Caenorhabditis elegans: one gene and its partners. The protein of the gene in region 3 interacts with the protein of the main gene of each other region in a pairwise test. Each region holds a gene or a part of one and is shown on either strand. Other genes may lie near its edges.

Region 1 (7,429 bases), on a different chromosome or scaffold from region 3:
AATTTCTGGTAAAAGTAACATCAAATTTAAAATAATCCTACTTTGCATGAGCAATTTGTCTGAAAGTTCTAGCATCTGCTTTGTTCGAAAATTGGAATTCCTGCCGTCCAGTTTTAACATCAATTATCTCAAAATGAACTTCAATAACTTTTCCAAAGCGGGAGTACTCTAGAGTTGAGAATTGTAGAATAATAGTACAACTGAGAAGAACTTGGAAAAGTTTCATATGAATAAGAAGTGAACACAATATAATAGTAATAGTACACACGCAAACTGATAAGAAGGTGAGTGAGAGAGAGAGAGAGAAATAACACATACATAAATATAAATACACACAAATTGATAAGTACTAGTTTCAGCGAACGATTGGCTTGCAGCCGCGATTGAGCACGACTCTTCCCTCATTTTCTCGTGGGCCTCTGAATACGGTTGTAGTGACCTGAGTTCCGTCCGCAAGGCCTTCATGAACGTTCTCGCGAGCCAAGTTTTGCATTCCAAACTGCCTTGAATCTTCCGTTTTTTTCAGTACCAGAATTTCAGAGTTCCACCTAAAATTTGAAATGTTGGTTTCATATATGTATTGAATCAAAATACTCACAGTGAGCAAGTCATGACGCAGAAAGCAATGGCAAAAGTAACAATGATCCAAATGATAAGGAGCATCTTGCCAAGATCGCACGCTAAAAAATTATTATTTTCTAAAGTATTGAGGAAAATAAATTCTTCACTAACTTGGAACTCCAAATTGGCAAACCAACACGGGAGCATAGAAGAATTCGCTAATTGCCACCAAAGTCGGGAAACCAGTCGTCGGATATGGCCAGGTTTTGCAGAATTTGCTGACCTCGCTGTCCGACGGCTCGTTGATGAAAATTCGAATACGCGAGAAGCCATACGGCTCTTTCTGAAATTGGAAACACAGTTTTATCAAGCTGAACAGTTAGGCGGTACCTTTCGAATCCAAATCGGGTCCCAGTCTCTGTACTTCTCCTCCTCTTGCAGAACAACCATCTCGACGATGACCTGCGAATTTTCACCTCGGTTCTCCGCTCGCAGCATCTCATTGAGCGCACTGCCTCTGAAAAATGTGTGTGTGCTGTTGATCAAGACTCTAGGCAAACTTTGGAACACCTACGCCAGACAATTATCTCTCCGTGTGGAGTACACGATTTTCCCACGCGTTGTCCGGCAGGCGATTGTCAATGGAGCGCGGAAAATTCAGTGAGGAAGGCTAGAAACCCGTGACTTGAAATAAAAAATTTTCCTTGGGACAATCTCACTTTTAGGGTTATGTTCTAGAGGTAATGCCAAAATAAGAACCCCAAATGATTTGATGGCCCGACATCTACCGGGTTCTGCTCCGCACTAAGATTACCTCGTAGTGAGCTGGGAACCCGTCAGATGTCAGCCCATGATATTAATTGGAGTCCTAATTTTGAAATTACCCCAGGAAATGACCTATAAGTTGGTAAACCTTTTTAGACCTTTAGCCAAGAAGGTCTACTGAAACCTGACCTAGTCAAAATTTTGAAAAATTCAATTTTGAATGTAATTTTCTAGAGGTAATGTCAAAATAAGGACCTCAAATAATATGGTAGCCTGACGATCATGGATTAATTCAAAACCCAACTCACTGTTCAAAAAGAGCCTGTCGAACTGGACCAAGAAGCTCGCCTGCTTCCTCGGCCTTTTTCTTTGTTCGGCACCAGAAGAACTCAGCGATGTGACCGTACACATGATCCGAATGCCAGAATGTTGGTTTCGCCTCCTGTTGAGTAACCTTCGAAGTAGCGATGGGGAGCAGGAACAGACTGAGCCACACGAGCCAGCGCATCTAAAAATTGATATGAAAACAATAAGAAAATTGGTCATAGATCATAGGTATGTTCCAGATCAAACTGTCGTTGGTTAAAATTAATGAAAAATGGAATCGCAAATTTCAAAAATCAATCAAATTTACATCATACACAACTTAAGAAGTATTTGTGAACAAAGAATTTTGAGATCAAGATTATATTTCAAGATTAGAATTCAAAAAAAGTGACAATTAGAAATTTTGCATCTCAATAGGCATGTCCTGTGGCGACATGCTGGCTTCTCGCTCTCTTCGCATGTTCTCGTGAATCTGTCGGTTTTCAGCTCCCTGACGTTTGGACTCCTCGATGGCGGCTTGGCGTTTTCGGTAGAAATGACTGAAAATTAATTTTACATTACATGCTTTCAATGGGATTTCTAGAATAAATAGAAACCTCTTTTTACGGTAGTGTGACGTCATGGAAGAACTTTCCAGTGTGACGTCACACTTATGAGAAAAAATATTTCACGTGTTTCGGGGGTTTAAGATTTTTAGATTTTTTCAGTGCCCGTGAAGTCAAAATTTGATTTATGCACCACTGCGCTATTTTTTAGTAATCTCTCTATTACGAAACCACGAGATCATGAGAATGCCTACTTTTCTGACGGCAAATATCTCGTAGCGAAGGGACCTGCGTCTCTCTTTGCCACACGCTCTCTCGCTGCTGCGGCCTGCCAATATTTTCGGGCCAGTCAATAGGCATTCTCATGATCTCATAGTTTCGTAATATGTTGCCACCACGTGGTGTCAGAGTGTCCCATCTCGGTTTGATCTACGTTGATCTACAAAAAATGCGGGAGAAGAGACGCAGACTTCTCAACTGATTTCGTATGGTTAAGATCAGGCTGACGTCACATTTTTTTGGCCGGAAACTTCCCGCATTTTTTGTTGATCAAACCGTGATTGGGCAACCTGGCACCACGTGCTGCACCCTTCCATGTCCCCTTGTCGTTCAACTTTCTCATTAGCGCGCGATTACACCGGTAGGAAAACAAAGAAACTTACTATCCCAGACAGGAGAAGGAGACGGCAGCAACGAGAAGTGTGATTCCGGCAGCTGGTCCAAACGTGGGGAGCACAAATTTCCAGTCCTCCTCGTTTTTGATGTTTAGAACATTATCCATTTTTGCTGCAAAAAAAATTTGTTTGAATGAAATGAGGGGTAGAAAACAAACAAAATACGGAGAAAAATTGACACCACTTTTTGGTCACATTGTTTGAAATTTCAAATATACGTATTATAAAAATTATAGGATTTAACACAAGAGGAGTACTTCTCAAGTTTAGGTACTTATCCTTAGATTCTCAGAATCATGTATTTCGGCTCAAGTTTGTTTTTTTACTCCTAATGATTTTAATGAGTTGAGAAACTATTTTGCAAATCTAGAAAGTCTCTAACTCAAAAAAAAGTTGAAGAGTGGCACCAGACGCAAGCTAAAATTGAGAAAATCGAGATAATTTTTCAAACTTTCAAAAAAAGATTTCAAGATTTCAAGATTTCAAAAAAAAAAACTGAGCAAAAAGTGTTGTCTATTCACGTGGCAATAAAAAACCGCAACAGAGGAGTACAACAGAAAAGAAACAAAGAAAATGATTACAAAACCTGAGCGCCCGCGTTGTGGGTCAAATAGTCCCTCCTTCGCGCGCGCAAAAACACAAACATGGGACCTCCCTCCTCCTCCTCCTCCGCGCGACTGCGGTTCTGTTCATGTGCGCGTCACGGTGTATGCAGAATTCTGACCTTTTCAGTGGTAGGCGGGAAATGAGAAGATGAGGGAAGAGGAGAGCCCAGTTGTTTTCGTCTTTCTCCCGCAAAGGATGACCTAGTTTTGGACGGATCGATTTTTTTTTTGAAACAGTTTTTCTTTTTGAATTTTAAACTCTCACAGCTACTCTTCTTCCCGTTTAAAAAATAAGAATGTATTTTAATTTCCTAAGCTTATCTCCACAAAAAGCAATGAAAAGATTTTTAGAAAATGGCTGGACTATTTCGAACAATTTTCAAGGGCAAAAAGTCCCGAAAGGAAAACGAAAACGACGACGATTACACAGTGGTTTGTACCTTTTATCGAATATTATTTCAATCGATTCCCCCCGGTTTCAGTTCAATCCGTGCGTACGCTCAATGTCGCTGAAACGTCAGCCAACCGCCCGTTTTGCCGATGATTGTATGCTCCCACCGACTGCCGCCTATCACACGACAAGTGCACCGAAACTTCGCAAAGGGCCTCAAAGCTGTCCGGGCGGCCGTGATGACTTCAATGCTGCTGCCTACAGTAGATCCAACAAGTTGCCCAGGACCTTCCCACTTGGAGCTTCAAGCTCGAGCCGGCAAGATTTCCAAATTGATGACTTTGAGCGAGGATCTAGAAATCATAAAATTCGGGAATCCTCATCAATGGAGTTTGCAAAAAGAGATCAAAAAGAAGGTGATGATGAGGATAATGAAGCGATGCTCGAACGAAAAAGCCGGTACTACATGCAAAAATGGGAGAATTCGGAAAAACAACGGCGTGAGGAGAGGCGAAAGCAGGAACGGTATGAACAGGAGAGAGAAAGCATTCAAAGCGTGATGTCCAATATGGCCTATTGTATGGCGTCGGCTCAACAACTGGAGCAGTTGAAAAAGGAACGAGACCAGTACAAGAAGGAGATGAGACGGTATAAGGCAAAATGTGAGCAATTGGAGAGCAAGTGCGAGCAACTACAGACCATGTCTCCGAGCTATGGCGCATTTCAGGTAGAGTTTCGGGGCCTTCATTTTTTCGCCTACCATATATGCTCCAAGTTCTTTGCAAAATTTTAAGTTGTAATTCTTCTCGGGTAAAGGTAATTCAACGATTTATTTCCCTGCACCCTGCTCCATCACGTTAATTTCAAATATCCTTCTAGGCCTGCACCATCCATCTCTAAAGGTCCTCGCCACTCCCAATTTTCCCATTAGGGCACGATTGCATTTTCAGAAAATACGGTGTCCTAGACACTAGAGATCGGAACCTTTTCTGGGTGGTGGTTCCCCTGGTATTTAGCTTTAGCTGAGTTTAAGCCGAAGACTGTAGAAACCAACAATGAATTGTTCTACTTCTCAATCTGGGTGAGCCTATTGGGAGGAAGGGCTTGAACTCGTGACCTCTAGATTGCTAGCGGCCACCAATATTATTAAATTATCAAAAAACATATTTTCAGTCTATGCAAAATCTCCAAAATCCAATGCTGCCATCTCCATTCCAAACTCCACAATTTCCTGCTCCACGAAGCTTCGCCTATCCCAACCCGCCACTTCCATTTCATCGTTCCATGGATTTTCTCAATAGTGGACCGCCAAGCTACCTGTACAATGAGAACCTATCTTCGCTGTGCAGCAGCTCGATGAGCCACACGCCGACGACAAACGGGAGCGATGGCGCCGGCGAATCACTTGTTAATCCGTCGGACGTCAGTTTTCTCAAGAACTTTTCTAATGGTAGGTTCTGATAAATTGTTTCTAAACATTCTATCATTTTTTCAGGTCCCACAAATTCCTACGACAATGATGACGAGGACGAGGTCAAAAACTATCGTCAAGAGCAGGACTATTTTGTTTCAAGCCCACAGGCTTCCAATACTAACTAACTATTTATTAATTAATGTATATCTTTGTATTTTGTCAATTCTATTTTTTTCAATTTTAATAAACCGCTAGTAAGTCCTGAAAGAACGATGAATCAAAAAATCGAACAACTCTCAATTTATAGGGATTAGATTTTTTTTTCTCGTCCTATTCTTCACGCTCCCTCCTCATTTCGTTCTGTCCTCAATGGATAACAAGTCCATTAGAATACAATTCATGTTATATTCGATTTTATGCTTTTCGCGCCGATTTCACAGAAAGCGAATATATTGAGAGATATTGTTTTTGCCGCCGGGCACCGTCACTAGGGACACAATTCGTGTGGGTCGTCTTCGATAATTTCCGCTTTTCGTATTTATGTATATCGGCCAAACATTGCCTAACTCGCCTAACTACATTTACTTTTACTATATTTTTTATTCAGTTTTACCTCGCTTTTGTTAGAAATTGCTCATAAAAATTCCAGAGATGCTCGGATACTTTAACAGAACCCATGCTGCTCAGGTCGGAAGCTGGGATACTTTCCAGGGGTTTTTGATATTTGAAGTTTTGCTTATTATTGTTAGGTATGAGTTTCCGCGTTATACTGTCGCGACAGAACGATCGCTCCGCCAATTTTGCATGCGGCAAAGGGGCGTGGTTTATTGGGGGCGGGATTCCGGCGCAACCCTGCGGCACGTTTTTTTCGTGCGGTAATTTTCAGTTATTTTTATTCGTTTTCTGTTCGAAATTTCACGATTTCGCTCGATTTTGTTCGTTTTTTCGGATAAAAAAGTGTTCAACTATTTTTTAAATGAAAAATAACCAAGTTTTATCAGTTTTTACTTGAAAAAATGCTTCGTTTGTCTCTTTTTCTGTAATATACGATGCAAAACGTTAAAAAAAAACGTTTTCTCTTCACATTTTCCTTTTTTTCCCCCCATTTTCTCTCTTAACAATCGTAATTTACAAAAAAAGAGACAAACAAAGCATTTTTCGGGTAAAATCTGTGAAAACTTGGTTATTTTTCATTTAAAAAATAGTTGAACACTTTTTTATGCGAAAAAACGAACAAAATCGAGCGAAATCGTGAAATTTCGAACAGAAAACGAAAAAAAATAGCTGAAAATTACCGCACGAAAAAAGCGAGAAAAAAGCGTGCCGCAGGGTTGCGCCGGAATCCCGTCCCCAATAAACCACGCCCCTTTGCCGCATGCAAAATTGGCGGAGCGATCGTTCTGTCGCGACTGTATTTTCTTTTGTTCAATTACAAATTTTCAGTTTTCTTTCCATAAGCTTCTGGTTCTTAGTGATACTCACCGCAAAAAACATGCATCCAAATTTTCGAATTATCAACGCTTTCTATTACGGACAATACTTGATTCAACTAAGCTTTTGGGTAATTCAGCCATTCATCATTTTGAGGGAAGGTTTGGACGGTGAGTCACATTGCATGAACATCATTTGCTTTGATCTAGGTAGGAGTAGTAGACAAGTTTAAGGGCTTGACGCCTGCCTAAAACCTGTCGCCTGCCTAAAAACTTAAGGTTAAGCAGAAAGGCGTTTTGGTGCCTATATATAAAAGCACGACCTAAATCTAAATGCTTCTTATACTATTTTCTATAAACATTCTGTTTTTTTTCTTGGTTTATGTTTACAAGAATTATATTATTATTTGAACATTACAAACAAAAACATTTATTTTTCGGTAACCTTGGTCGATATTTTACAATAATTTAAATTTAATGACGTCACACAAGTTTACTCTACGATACGTGTGACGTCATGCAATTCAATTCCTGTTGATCAAACGATGATTCTACCTTTTTGAGACAAATATGACTCAATCTAACTCGTAAAATACAAAATACATTGAAATTTTTGAGTTCAATTTTTACAATTTTTGAATGATTTCAGATTCTGACAAATTTGGCAATAGCCTCTTCACACTTTGTAGTTATGTCAGAATTGTTGGGATTTTTTAT
Region 2 (6,343 bases), on a different chromosome or scaffold from region 3:
TTGATATAACACATCCACAAGCATATTTCCCTCTGGGGTGTTAGAAAAAGAGCGTGACGTCACGAATAGGAGGCACCGCACCACCCCCCAAACACAAAATTCCCAAAATTTCAGATCGCAATTCCCATCCTCGTATTCTTTGTGCCCACAGCTGTTGGAGTTCTGATAGACCCGGTGAAAGATGAACAACTGCAACACAACCTGATATTCATTGCAGTGTCATTTCACGGAGTCATATCCACGATTTTGATGATTGATCTACAAAAACCTTATCGAGACGTGTTTCTTTCAATTTTCGGGTGTTATAGACTGGCGCCTGTTAAACATGCGACGACGTTGTTTTAATTTGAAATACAGTGTGGGAAAGTTCTATAGGACCCCCCCTAATTTGAAGGTTTGAGGAACTTCCGAAAATTTTTTTGAAAAACTGCTAATGCCATTCGTTTTTAAATTGAAAAAAACCTATATAAATTTTTTTCCAGAAGTTTATCTCAAAAACTGAGGTCGCGCTGGAAAAAACGTCAAAATCCAGTGTGAAACTTCTATAGCACCCCCCGTTTTTTTTCACGATTTTTACTAAAATCAACAGATTTTGGAATTTTTGACAAAGCTCAAATCAAGTTTGAGTTAGAAATGAGTTCAGATAAGCAGTTTTGACTTTAAAAAATTAATACGAAATGTTCTCGTGGGATCTCCAGACTGGTTCTGATTCTTCCGATCTTTGATGTTCAAGTCTGTTTCAAGCTTCCTGGTGCTCTCGGTAATGCCAAAACTTGATAAACTCTCTTTAACAAGTTCCTACTAAAATTCCTAGCACACACACCATAAACATTTTTACGCCATCCCCAAGAAACCAGTCAGAAACAGCGTATTAACAAGTTGCAGTTATTTTTGATCAACAACAGAACATTCATATACTAAAATCAAGAAAGGATCAATAGTTAATCGGGTTTCCTTGTGTGCGGATGATCTCAAACAGTCTGTCCTCCATTGATCTGACCAAACTTTTCAGCTGGTTGTCCGGAATAGACTTCCAAGCGTCGAGAATTCCTTGCTTCAACGATGCAACTGTTGGGTAAGTCTTGTTCTGAGCATACACGATACGGACAAGAATCCCCCACAAATTTTCGATTGGATTGAGATCAGGACTTCGAGCTGGCCAATCAAGAAGGTTGATCTTCTTGAGCTTGAAATAGTCGCGGGTTGAGTTGCTCACATGGATTGTCGCATTATCCTACTGAAATCTAAAGTCTTTTCTGGAGTAGTGACGAAGATATTTGGAGAGCTCCAGTTCCAAGACGTTCTGATAGTCAGTGCTGTTCATCTTGCTACTGACGAACTGTATCTCAAGCTTCTTCTTCTCCGTGAACGCTCCCCAAACCATCACCGTTCCTCCTCCAAAATTACGTCTCGAAAAAACCATTGGTTCCTTGCGCAAATCGCGCCAATAGTAGCGGCAACCGTCAGGCCCATCGAGATTGAATTTCTTTTCATCGGAGAAGACAACCTAAAACAATGATCCTAATTATTCACTCTTGCTTTTTTAAATTCTCACTTTACTCCAATTCGTTCCCATATTGTTCTTAGCAAATTCCAATCGCTTGAGTTTATGGTCTGCAGAGAGTAACGGAGCAGGGCGAAGTTTCTGACGAACGATTACACCAGATCGTTTGATGACATTGAGGATGGTCCTTTTTGAAGCAGACAATTGAAGCTCATTGCGAATATCTCTTGCCGTCTTACAGGAGTTGGAGGCAGCACGAATCACATTTCGTTCGTCACGCACGGAGAGAGCTTTGCGACGAGGAGCTCTTTTAGATGTACCGTAGCTCACCGGATCCTTCAGATACTCGCGAATACAGTGTCGAGAACGGGAAATTTTCCTACTCATTTCATGCAGGGACACATTGAGCAATTTCATAACATCCAGCTGAGCGCGTTCAGTGTCCGAAAGGGCAGATCCTCGAGGCATTGCAAGTTAGACTGCTTTCGAAGTAAGCTTTCCAGCCTCTATATGTGTGCCACAACACATGCCACAATTCCACATTTAATAATTCACGCAAAAAATAGTAAATAACATCTGTGAGGGACAATTTAACTTGAAATATTGGTCCCATGGAACCTTGTAATCAAAGAAAAACGATTTGATTCCTGATAAGCCTTCCATTGTTTCCTGCTGCATATTTTGCCAAATCAGCTTGACTACACAGTCGAAACATCTAAAGTGCGTGCTAGGAATTTTAGTAGGAACTTGTTAAAGAGAGTTTATCAAGTTTTGGCATTACCGAGAGCACCAGGAAGCTTGAAACAGACTTGAACATCAAAGATCGGAAGAATCAGAACCAGTCTGGAGATCCCACGAGAACATTTCGTATTAATTTTTTAAAGTCAAAACTGCTTATATGAACTCATTTCTAACTCAAACTTGATTTGAGCTTTGTCAAAAATTCCAAAATCTGTTGATTTTAGTAAAAATCGTGAAAAAAAACGGGGGGTCCTATAGAAGTTTCACACTGGATTTTGACGTTTTTTCCAGCGCGACCTCAGTTTTTGAGATAAACTTCTGGAAAAAAATTTATATAGGTTTTTTTCAATTTAAAAACGAACGGCATTAGCAGTTTTTCGAAAAAATTTTCGGAAGTTCCTCAAACCTTCAAATTAGGGGGGGTCCTATAGAACTTTCCCACACTGTATGATTATAAAAACAAAAAAAAATGAAGTTATAACCCCAATTTTAAACTGTAGTGTTTTGAAAATTTTTGGCAATTGGAATCTTCGGAAACTGCTGGTTTCAAAAAATATGGGAAATTTTTCAATTTTTTGTGAAGCTGCCAAAAACTTCAATTGCCGAAAAATTTCGACTGAGGTATTGCATTTTTTATTGGAAATTTTGAAATTTCAGTTGTAACTGCAAAATTACACGTATCTTACATGAAAAATGAGAAAAAATATATTAGAATTCTTGCTGAAAACGAGAAAAAATGTCAAAAATATGTGTCATCCGTTTTTTCTTATAAAAATTCCTTCAGAAATTTTGCACAATTTGCAAAAGCGGAAATCGGAAAGTTTTCTATACATGTCTTGAAAAAAACTCCACCGCCACTATTTCCTAAAATTTGTTAAAAATATAAAAATGGCTGTTAATTGCAAATCGATAGACTTACTGATAACAAAACTTCATCTCACTTTCTTCATTTCTCTTCCCCACAATTTTTTTAAAAACTCTCCAAAAAATGTGCGAAATTATTAAACTAGACGTTGGTGGAACTATATTCAAAACTTCAAAAGATACATTAACGAAACTCGATAGCTTTTTTAAAACTATGTTTGAAAGTGATATTGCGGTATAATGTTGCTGACTATATTTCTCCAAAAACCTGAACATTTTCAGCCGAAACTCGAAAAATCCGGATGCATTTTTATTGATCGTTCCCCGAAACACTTCGAGTTAATTCTGAACTTAATGAGAGATGGGAATCTGTGGTTGCCCGAAACTGAGAAGGAATTGAGAGAGTTGTGTGCGGAAGCAAATTACTATCAGATGTTTGGACTGTACAATAAGTGCGGTGTGAAACTTAGCACTATAATAAACTTCCGAATGATTCAAAATCAAAAACCAATAACTAAAAATAATAGTTATACTCGTTTTTTTGTTTTTTCATTAATTTTTTTGGTATTTGTGTATTACATCCCTGCACTAAAAAGCTATTTTATTGTTGAAAAATCTAGTAAATGCTACCTATTTTAGTGGCTATTAAACGCAATTTTCATTGTATTATGCTATCATAGAAATGTGAACAGACCCGAACGTAAACCTATTATAGTATGGAAAAAAATCAATTGAAAACACTGATAACTTCAAATCGATCGACTCACTGATAACAAACCTTCATTTCACTTTCCTCTTTTTCTCCTCTACAATTTTTTTCAAAAACTCTCCAAAAATGAGTGAAATTATTAAACTAGACGTTGGCGGAACTATATTCAAAACTTCAAAAGATACATTAACAAAGTTCCATAGCTTTTTCAAAACTATGTTGGAATGCAAAACTGGGGTATGAAAATCGTTGTTTTTTTCCAAAAAAAAACGTGAAAATTTCCAGCCGAAAATTGAAAAAACCGGATGCATTTTCATAGATCGGTCCCCGAAACACTTTGAATTGATTCTGAATTTAATGAGAGATGGTGATCTGCCACTGCCAGAAGATGAAAGAGAGCTGAGAGAATTGATGGCAGAAGCTCAATTCTACTGGTTGGATGGTCTAGTCTTAATGTGCTGTGATAAACTTAATTCTACAAAAAAGGTCCAAATTGATCAAAGAGCAAACACTAAAAAATATGATTTATCATGGTTTTTTGTTTTTTCAATAATTTTTTTGGTTTTAGTGTTTGTGTATTACATGCCTGCACTAAAAGGCTATTTTATTGTTGAAAAAAGAAATAAATGTTATCTTTTTTAGTTGTTGGAAATTTTAATTTTTGTTAAAAAAAATCATTTTGAAATATGTACTGATCGATAATCTTATAACTGATAACAAAATTTTACTCCATCTTTCTCTTTTTCTCCCCTAGAAAACTCTTCGAAAATGAGTGAAACTGTGAAATTGGACGTTGGTGGAACTATATTCAAAACTTCAAGATCTACATTAACAAAGTTCAATGGATTTTTCAAAACTATGTTGGAGAGTGACATTGGGGTCCGATTTTTCCAAAAATTTCCCGATAAATTTTCAAATTTTCAGCTAAAAATTGACGAATCTGGGAGTATTTTTATTGATCGGTCTCCGAAAAATTTCGACTTGATACTGAACTTTATGCGAGACGGCGACGTGGTTCTACCCAATTGTGAATTGAAACTGAAGGAGCTGCTAGTAGAAGCTCAATTCTATTTGCTCGACGGACTCATTGAGTTGTGCAATTCAAAGATTGAGCTTGTTGAAGCTCCAAAGATAAAACTTCGATTTATTGAAAGCGATGAACAATTTCTTCAAATTCTTGCTGTTCAACAGAAGGTGAGTTTCGATAAAATAATGTAGTTTTTCAAATTCATAGGAATATCTCAGTCGGTAGTGGTAGCTGCTAGAAAGCTAGAGGTTGCGGTTTCAAGTTTAGACTCATCCCCTAGGTTCACCCAGTCTGTATTGGAGAGTGGAGCAATCCATGACTGTATTATCGGCCACAGTCCCTGGCTAGGACGTGGCTTAAACTATAGGCCAGTGCAAGCTGTAGTCCTAATAGTAAGGCCACACTGTATGGCGTTTGTCAATCATAAAATAATTAACCAGTTTCTTCAAAAAATTTCAGCTCTACATATAATTTTTACAGCCAATGCTCATAATTGAATTTTGCATGGTTGGGAATGATATGTCGATTCCCTATAACTTTAATCTTTACGAGTTCATGGAAAAGTATTCACATCAGTTCGATATTTATTTTCGTAAGTTTTTTGTACATTATCCTCATAAAATAGTCAATTCAGAGCGATTGAGTGAAGACGAACCTTCTCGCAAATGGAAAGCAAGGATAAAATGGAAACCTACTGAGAATGGATATTACAGTCAATTTCCACACAATCTTCGAATTAATCGAGGTGGACGGATAATACGGGATGCAACATTTTTGGAACGATTGGAAAAAATGATCGGGGAGTTTGATGAGTATTTGAAGAAGCAGAGGAATAGATAATTAACTTATTTTATGGATTTTTCGACAATATTTCTAATTTAGAAGCTTAAAAAATTATAATTTAGTAAGCTTGTTTTTTTATCTTTAAACACAAAACACATGGATAAGTTCAAAGTCTGATTGATAACAAACATTCTTATTTTTATTTTTTGAGTTTGGTTGCATCTGTGCCTCAAACCGTAACTATTTTAAAATATGAACAAGGTTGTTAAACTAGACATCGGCGGAACTATTTTTAAAACTTCAAGACCGACATTAATAAAATGTGATGGATTATTCAAAACTATGTTTGAATGTGAAAGGGTCTGATTACCGTAATCGATTAAGAGCGATTGAGTGAAGACGAACCTTCTCGAAAATGGAAAGCTAGGATAAAGTGGAAATCTACCGAGAATGGATATTATAGTCAATTTCCGCACAATCTTCGAATTAATCGAGGCGGACGGATAATTCGGGATGCAACTTTTTTGGAAAAATTAGAAAAAATGATTGGGGAGTTTGGTCAATATTTGTATTTGGAGAAGCAGAGAAAGAGATAATTAACTCATTTTGTGGATTTTTTGACAATATTTTCAATTCAGAAGTTTTTTTTTATTTCTTAACATTTTTGATTTTTTTGTAAAAAAAAAAACAAAATTTCGCAACACTGATAATTCAA
Region 3 (8,196 bases):
CGCACACTTATTTCGCAAGCCTCGCACGCTTTTTCTCTTGAAAAGAAAACGCGCGAGGCTTGCGAAGTAAGCGTGCGGCGGTTGCGAATTCCTCCAAATTTCCGGCAAAAGTCCTGAAAAATGTAGATTAAATTCAATAATTTTTTTCAGAACAGTACGGAATTTCAGGCCTTACTTTCGGGCCTTCCGGCTTCTTCTCCTTCTTCTTCGGAGCCAAATCCTCCGCAGTCTTCGGTCCGAGCAGCTCCAAGAATCTCAAATCCACCTCCTTCTTCGTAATCGCACCATCAGCCCATGGAAGCAGAGCTCGTAGCTCGCCGAGCAACTTTCCGGCCGGGAACGAGTACCGCTCGGCGACGATTTTCTCGCGGTGTTGGCCAATCACCTTGGTAACGGCCGCTTCGATGTCGTCGATTGTGACAACAACGCCGACTCCGCATGATTTCTCGAAATCAGGCACTTGGATACCTTTAACGGTGTGCGAGAGAAGATACTCGATCGCTGCGGAGAGCTGAAATTTTTTTGAAATTTGGAAATTTAGCTGTTTTTTTTTTAATTTGAAATTTAATTTTAATTACAAACCTGTGGCTCTGTCTTAATCCCGTCATTCATAATATACTTGACAACTAGTGGAGTGTGAGCAGCGACTTGTGGCTTCAACTTTGTCGCCAACTGGTACAAAAGTGTTCCTTTTTGCTTGGAAATCTCGCCAGACTCGCTCGCAAGCTTCACAATTGAACCGATCGTTTCGGTGAGCTTCACATTTTTCAGCGTTTCAGCTACTTTTGAATCAGAGAGGCCCAAAGAGAGAAGCTCCTCCTTTGTTGCCATTTTTACCCTGGAAAATTTGTGAATTTTTTTGAATAATTTGAAGTTAGAAAGTGGAGAAGCGGAAGAAAATTCTAGAAAATAAATGTTTTTAAAGAAAGTCCAGTTTTCCGTTTTCTGAGTTTCGCGGAAAGTTGCAATCTATAGAAAAACTGAAAAAAAAGCAAATCGCTTCCTGAAACAGCCTAAAAAACCTTGAAAATACAAAATTTAGGGAGAATTTAGAAGATTTTTCGTCGAATCTCGGGAAAATCTTGAATAATTGAGTGAGAAAACAGTTTTTACAATAAGGAATTATGATAAAGTTGCAAACATCTGGAGAAATTCCAAATTTCTTGATTTTAGCCGAATAACCCTAAATTTTTCAGTTTTTTCCGAGTTTTTCGCGGGATTTGAGTTTAAATACAATATTTCTATATTTTTAATCAAATTTTTAGCCTCAAATCTGGAAAAAATAATTTTAAAAAAGCCAAAAAACCACTGGAAAACTTTTAAAATAGGCTTTTCCTTGCTAATTGCAGCTGAAAACTGCAAAAGTGTGCATTTTCGCGTGCCGGTGTTTACACACAAAACATCACAAAATGGTGTGCCACATCGGATCCACGTTCATTTTTTTCAGCGTTGTTCTTCGTGTTTTTGCATTAAAAAGTTCTGAAAATCTGGATTTTTTATTGATTTTTACTTCGAATTGTGATCTTTAATCTAATTTCTATGGATTTTATACCGAAAATGTCGAAATTACATATGAAAATTGCTAGAAACCGGCTGCAATTCTCATTTTCTGATTTTTATCTGATTTTCTTTCCAGTTTCCCCTTGATTTTTATTGCGCTCTGGCATTTTAAAAATCAATTTTCGCACATTTTCAGAGATGGCCGACGAGAACCACGTCCGTCTAAGCGAGGTTCAACTGATTCAGTCGGAATTCGGACATTCTCTCGAGGAATGCTACAAGCTTGCCGTTCAATATTATAAAAAAGGTATTTTTTGATTTAAAAATTCTTTTTAAAAAATGAGTTTTTTTCCAGAACACGTCGGGAAACAGGAGCCTGTTGGATATGAAGATCGCATTAAATTGCTCTCGTTGAGCAAACAAGTGAAAATTCCAGTTTTAAAATCAAAAATTAAATAAAAATTAAATTCCAGGTCCAACATGGAGAGATTTCCGATGAATTTGACAACGCTGGATGGCTAGATATCACTGGAAACGATGTGAAGTGGGTGATTTTCAATCAAAATTCTAACAAAAAAAAAGAAAACACTCTATTCCTTTTCCAATTTCCCCCCACACCCTCATTTCTCGAAAATGATGAACAAAATTGGAGAAAAAAAAGAAGAAGGACACACGAAGACGCAATCTCCAAAAAATTTCATTTTGTTTTTCATTTCCTATTCTATTCCAGGATAGAAATCTCGGAGAATTGGCAACTTTTCTTCTGATTTAATTAATTTTTAGCGGTTTTTCTTCAGAAATTTGATCAAAAATTGAATCGATCCGTGAATTTTGCACAGAAAAAGAGGCGGGGCGTAATTTTGCAACCCTGTGGCACCGTTTTTTAATGTCGATTTTACTAGTTTTATTCTTTTTTTATCGAATTAAAAGGTTATCCAATTAAATTCTAGTAATTAATTTAATCTGAATATCCTTATAATCTTATGAGAATTAAATTTTATAACATTTTAATTCGAAAAAAAGATAATATGACAAGTAAAATCGGCATTTTATTGAAAAAAATCAACAAAAAGTGGAAAACGAGCTCCAAAAAAGAGAGAAAACGCTGGTTTTCTGGCGAAATTCACAATTCTTCCACGCAAAACTATGTAGCTGAAAATTTCAGAAAGTTGGAAAAAAAATCCAATTTTATAATTTTTTTACAGTTTTTTTTTACAAATTCAGTTTTCTAGGCTTCTCTTCTGGCGCCCTCAAGCCATTCTCAAACTTTAAATGAATTTTCCAAAATTTTAGGCTAAAATCCTCCAATTTTAGTGCCTTCTCCTCTGAAATTAAGCAGCAAATCTGAAAAAGCTGTCAAAATAACCTATTTTATGGCAATTTTGCACCTCAAATAGAGCCGTTTTCAGCGATTTTTCGAACTTTGTTGCTCGTCAGTACAAATTCGTGTTCCTCCTCCTGCTCCACCACTCGCCGTCTTGTTTCGTCTAATCCATTTGGGACGTTTATACGTGTTTTGTGTGTCCCGGCGGCTTCTTCCTTCACTTTTGCTACTAGAAATTATTTCTCTTTGAAACCTCTGTCCGAAATATATTTTTTTTTGCTGGACGCCTTCTTTAGAACCTTTTCAAGTGTGGCCAATTATCGTAAAAGCAGGCGGTGTGCAAATTTGATTTTCGAGAGAGAAGGAATGTTCAATGTCTACCAGTTATTTTGGCTTTTTCCAAGGATTCGTTCAGTTCTTTGACGAATAACAGCCCCACGGGGTTCTGGCCTTCCTCATTGAATTTTTCGCGCTCCATTGACAATCGCTCGCCGGACTCCACACGGACAAATACATTTACATAGTTTTTCAACTAAAATCGAGCCGCGACGCGACACGCAACGCGCCGTAAATCTACCCCCGAGCCAAAATGACCTAGTTCGGCAAACTCTTCCATTTCAAGTTATGAGGGAAGCCAGAAAACCGTGGCAGCCCGAAAGGTCTTCTACTTTTGATGCTCTCGGAGCTCTGAGCCAAAAAGCCCCAAATATGGATACAAATCCATCATGAGCTCACCTCATAAGAGCCGGCTCTCCTAATACTCATCAGTCATTTTGTATTCTTTCCTAAAGAGATAGACATACATGTTTTCAAAAAAGAAAAGAAGTTTTTGTCGAGAATTCGTCACAAATTGATTTTCAGCCTCTTTTGTCGACGAAAATTTCAGCTACACCCACCAATTTGGCTCTCCTCCTCCTCCTGCTCAAGAGGAGCAACACTGAAATCTCTGGAGAATTGGGTGGCTTCTTCCTCTCCTTTCATTCCTTTTTGCCCTATTTCTCTCGTTTTTCCGTCTGTTAAAAAGTTGACGGCACATCCTTCTGTTTTGTTACTTTGTTGTTTTCGAGGCGGTTTCACAATTGTCTACGGTATTTCCTGATTACGGAACTTTTTTCTGCGTGCGGATTCTGAGTTTTTCACGGGGTTCTGGCCCAGATATGGCAGAGCCAAAATGGCCTAGCTCGGCAAACTCTTTCATTTAAATTTATGAGAGGAAGCCAGAAACCACGCGACGCCAGACTGTCCCATCACGATTTGATCTACAAAAAATGCGGAAAATTTTTTCCTCTAAAAATTGTGACGTCAGAACGATCTCAACCATGTGAAATCAGAAGAGATGTCTGCGTCTCAACTCCCGCATTTTTTGAAGATCAAATCGGAATAAGACTTTTCGGACTCCATGCGGTGCACCCGTAACGTGACTGAGATCGTGGCAAGACCCACTTATCATGTCAAATTTTCGGGAAAATGTCCTACCGTACTTACTTGAAGGAAGAACCTCTCATCAACATTCTACAACCAAAATGTAGTCCTCATTGCAAGAAGAAATACGTCATATTTCTCTGTCTATCTACATTCCAGTACTTGTGTCTGATAATCAGGAAGTGCTGATATCCATTCCGTGTTTTTCTCATGACACTTGCTTTTTTTTGAAGAGAAGTCACCTTCGCCCTCCAGCAAAATTTAAGGTTTTCCCACGAGGATATCCAGCGTTTCCTCGTGTTTCTTTAGTAGTAGTTCACTTTTTTTCTGGTTTTGTTTTCGTTGGATTGCTTTCCTTTGTGGAAAATCAAATTTTCTACCGAAATTTGTGTGGGGATTCTCTCGCTACTCTGGTCTGTTCTTCTGACTCACGTTTTCCGTTTCTTTCCATCCAAGAGACGTACAAAAGTAGTAAGAGTAAACACACAGACGAGGGGAAGAAGCTTCTTCCTCCCTTTTTTTCTATTCGCCAAAATTGAATTTGTGTGTAGCTCCGCCGTCCCGGGCGGACTTCGCCTTCTTCCTCAACCCAAAAATCTAACTTAACAAGAAGGGAAAAAGAAGTGACAAGGACGCGAGGAATGCTAATAAGATGATGGTGTTGGAAGGGATGTGGGGACGACGACTAGTTGGACAGACGACATCGGCTTCTTCTTCTTCTTCCGTTTTTTTTTGTCAGAAGATAACGTCTTCTTTGACAAGACGGCAGGGATGACAAGTTTTCAACCTTTTGTTCTTGTGCTGTTTGGAATCGCAACTAGGGCTGTGCGGCTGATGACTCGGCTGATGGAGCAAATCAACGTTTTTCAACGTAATAGCAATGATCAATTAGGGAATACTTGTATTTGCCATATCGGCTGAGTCTTGAGCTTCTAATTCTAGAAAAAAGTTTTTAAAAAAGTGCACACCCCTTCCAGAAAAACTCGTTTTTCCAATCAGCCGACAGCCGACAGCCGAGTTACTCGGCTGATTCAAAAAGCCGACTGTTTTGTCAAGGTGTGTGCACTTTTAAAAAAAACTTTTTTCTAGAATAAGAAGCTCATGACTCAGCCAATACTGCAAATACAAATATTCTTTAATTGATCAGTGCTAACACGTTGAAAAACTTGATTGTCTCCATCAGCCGAGTCATCAGCCGCACAGCTCTAATCGGAACCTACCTGACAACGGTAGAAGGTTTTGGCCACTGTCTCCTTCTTACCAGGTTCTCTGAGCCCGAGGTTAGATCTACGTAGACACGTGGTGTGAGCCTGTCTCATTGCGGTTTGATCTACAAAAAATGCGGGAATGTTTCCTCCAGGAAAGTGTGACGTCAGCACACTCTTAACCATGCGAAATCAGTTGAAAAGCCTGCGTCGAATTTTTCGAAGATTAAACCAAAATGGGACACTTTAACACCACGTGCGTAGATCTACGAAAATGGCGGGTATTTAGACGCAGACTTCTCAGCTGATTTTGCACGACTAAGAGCTTTCTGACGGCACATTTTTCTTGGCGAAAAATTCCCGCATTTTTTGTAGATCAAACCGTGATGGGACAGGCTGACACCACTTAGCTATTATGTTGCCGGGTTACTGTAGTTGACGAGAAAATGATCTACTCAACATCTTCAACTCTTCCGATATAATTGCAAGTCTATAAAAAAAAATAGATGACTATAAAAAGCGGCTATTTGTCCGAGATTTATGACTATATGTCTATCTACTCAACTGAAAGCCTTTTCTGAGTGGTCATAGATCAAAATTTGGACGAGTTGGTAATCAAATTGTGTGGTAAAACCCAACTACCCAAATGAACTTTCGGAATTCTTGTCTTTTTTTCAATTTTACAAATTAAGGGTCTCCTCCTCTTCCACCCAATTTTCAAGTGTTTTTGTAGCTTTTGAGCACTTCACTTGGCTTCTTCCTCCTCCTCAAATCCTGAAATCCTCTCTCTCTTTCTCGGCTAATCCTTTCTCTTTTTGAGCTGACTGAGAGGAAAATGAGTGAAAAATTTGCTGCTTTTCCTACCTTGAATAACACAAGAGTGTTCCTTTTCTTCCCCTTTTTTCTTCGATATCACCTATTGGCGGGGGTGTCTGATGTGCTCTTTTCTCCGGCTCTTTCCCTGTGTGCATGCACTTTTTTTTTGCGGAATAGAAGATGTAATTGATAGATTTGAGAAGGTGTTTGGTGTGTCACATGCCCCATGAGAGAGAGAGAGATGGAGTTTTCAGCACTTTTTGGTGATCTACTCCCTGCTTGGGCGCTTTTTGATTGGCTCCAATTGTTGGGCTCGGGGCGGTCTTGAAATTCTGCCCCAAAAAAGATTTCCAAAAAAACTGGAAATTCTTGCATTGGATTCGCTATTTTTCCGTTGAGAAATCTCATTTTTTGATTTGAAATCATCAGAAAGTACTGTAGGATTACTGTAGTTTTCTTGTTCACTCGCTTTCAATGCAGTGCACAGAGCAGTTTTACTACGTGGCCGTGCGAAATAGAAAAACTCGGCCACCCAAAAATCGCCAAGCTTCTTACAGTGAAAAATCAACGATTGGGCGAATTTTTGATTTTTCTAGGCCATGTTCCAAAAACCGCTCTTATGGAATTCAAGTAATATTGCAAAATGTAATTAAACACATTTATGACGTCACAACTGTACACGGTGGTGTCAGAGTGTCTCATTTCGGTTTGATCTACGTAGATCTACAAAAAATGCGGGAGAAGAGAGACGCAGAGTTCTCAACTGATTTAGCATAGTTAAGAGCGTGCTGACGTGAGTTTTTTGGGCAAAAATGTCCCGCACTTTTTGTAGATCAAACTGTAATGGGACAGCTTGGCATCACGTGCCGTGTGAAATCAATGATTGGCCGGCCGAGTTTTATGATTTTTCTAGGCCACGTACCAAAAACCGCTTTCTTAGATCTGTTGATCTAGTTTTTCCGCGATGTTTGCTCGAAATTTTCCTGCTAAAAGAGCCAAATTGCGAATCTGAGTGACCTGGCCGAGTTTTCTCTCTCCCCAACGGCCACGTATTACATACTTGGGCTCTTTCATGACGTCATTATCTCCAGTCCCGCATGATGATAAATTGAATGTTGTTCTGTGTTACATCTCGAGATTATATGACGAATGCTTGCTCTTTTTCTATCCCAATCGAAAAACAACTGAAACCTAATAGCCAAGCTTGAAGTAAAGAAGCTCAAGCGGTTATTTCTTCGTTTTTTTTCCATTCCGTTACGTATTTAATCTTAATTTTTTTTTTCTTATTTTCAGCAAAGCTTGGCGTGAGCTGGGCTCGTTGTCCCGCGACGAAGCGATGGCCTCGTTCGTCTTCCTCGTCGATCGTGTGTGTCCGCCGTTCAAGGGATTCATTGCCGATAAGAAGGCTATGTGAGTTTTGATTTTTTTTTCAGTTTTAATTTTGAATTTTTTGACCCTAAAAACGTATACTTTGATCACTTATAAAGTATATAGTCGCATTGAATAAAAAGAAAATTGTTGGCAATAAACATTTGAGTAAAAGTGAATAACAAGTAGAATTAGAACTAGGAAAACAGAAGGGATATGATGTAAAATCATTCATTTTTTTATTTTCTGATGGCATTTTTCCGACAGCATATATAATTATTACTAGAATATGGTGAGCTACGGTGTAGATGTTACTGAAAATAACTGAAATAGTTTCGTAACTCTGAAATTCCTGACTTATTCTGTACCAAAAGTAACGTATTGATATACGAAAATATTCCCCGAAGAGCCTATTTGAAGCCTGAGAGGCATTTTTATTTTTTATTGTGAACGATAAAAGAAGCGCCTTTTCTGGTACTTTTTGAAATTTAAAACAAAAAACATTTTAAAATTGAATACCATTATAACTTTTAAAAACATTAAAAATAAATTGTTAGACCT

What was found. Proteins that work in one complex are often made in the same cells at the same time.
Region 1: the proteins of Y41E3.7 (region 3) and C17E7.4 interact in a two-hybrid assay, tested with the Caenorhabditis elegans proteins (one large-scale study listed by BioGRID).
Region 2: the proteins of Y41E3.7 (region 3) and ZC239.16 interact in a two-hybrid assay, tested with the Caenorhabditis elegans proteins (one large-scale study listed by BioGRID).

What each region holds. Positions count from the first base shown.
Region 1 is NC_003283.11:3,889,028-3,896,456, forward strand, and holds C17E7.4 (BZIP domain-containing protein), read left to right. Parts: upstream 1-3,826; 5' UTR 3,827-3,831; coding exon 3,832-3,909; intron 3,910-3,959; coding exon 3,960-4,595; intron 4,596-5,041; coding exon 5,042-5,318; intron 5,319-5,363; coding exon 5,364-5,467; 3' UTR 5,468-5,546; downstream 5,547-7,429. Other genes in the region: C17E7.13 (uncharacterized protein), read right to left, coding at 42-226; C17E7.9 (uncharacterized protein), read right to left, coding at 356-548, 599-680, 733-904, 952-1,078, 1,136-1,219, 1,635-1,834; C17E7.12 (uncharacterized protein), read right to left, coding at 2,048-2,192, 2,861-2,979; sre-9 (Serpentine Receptor, class E (Epsilon)), read left to right, coding at 5,934-6,031, 6,726-6,883, 7,362-7,429.
Region 2 is NC_003280.10:3,222,887-3,229,229, reverse strand, and holds ZC239.16 (BTB domain-containing protein), read left to right. Parts: upstream 1-3,910; 5' UTR 3,911-3,944; coding exon 3,945-4,055; intron 4,056-4,103; coding exon 4,104-4,460; downstream 4,461-6,343. Other genes in the region: srh-297 (Serpentine Receptor, class H), read left to right, coding at 115-345; ZC239.17 (Potassium channel tetramerization-type BTB domain-containing protein), read left to right, coding at 3,350-3,748; ZC239.15 (BTB domain-containing protein), read left to right, coding at 4,587-4,697, 4,743-5,012, 5,326-5,437, 5,480-5,685.
Region 3 is NC_003282.8:15,012,346-15,020,541, forward strand, and holds the start of Y41E3.7 (Golgi resident protein GCP60), read left to right. Parts: upstream 1-1,689; 5' UTR 1,690-1,698; coding exon 1,699-1,807; intron 1,808-1,855; coding exon 1,856-1,923; intron 1,924-1,973; coding exon 1,974-2,044; intron 2,045-2,909; coding exon of another isoform or gene 2,910-2,991; exon of another isoform or gene 2,992-3,151; intron 3,152-7,560; coding exon 7,561-7,677; intron 7,678-8,196. Other genes in the region: qars-1 (putative glutamine--tRNA ligase), read right to left, coding at 176-511, 583-831.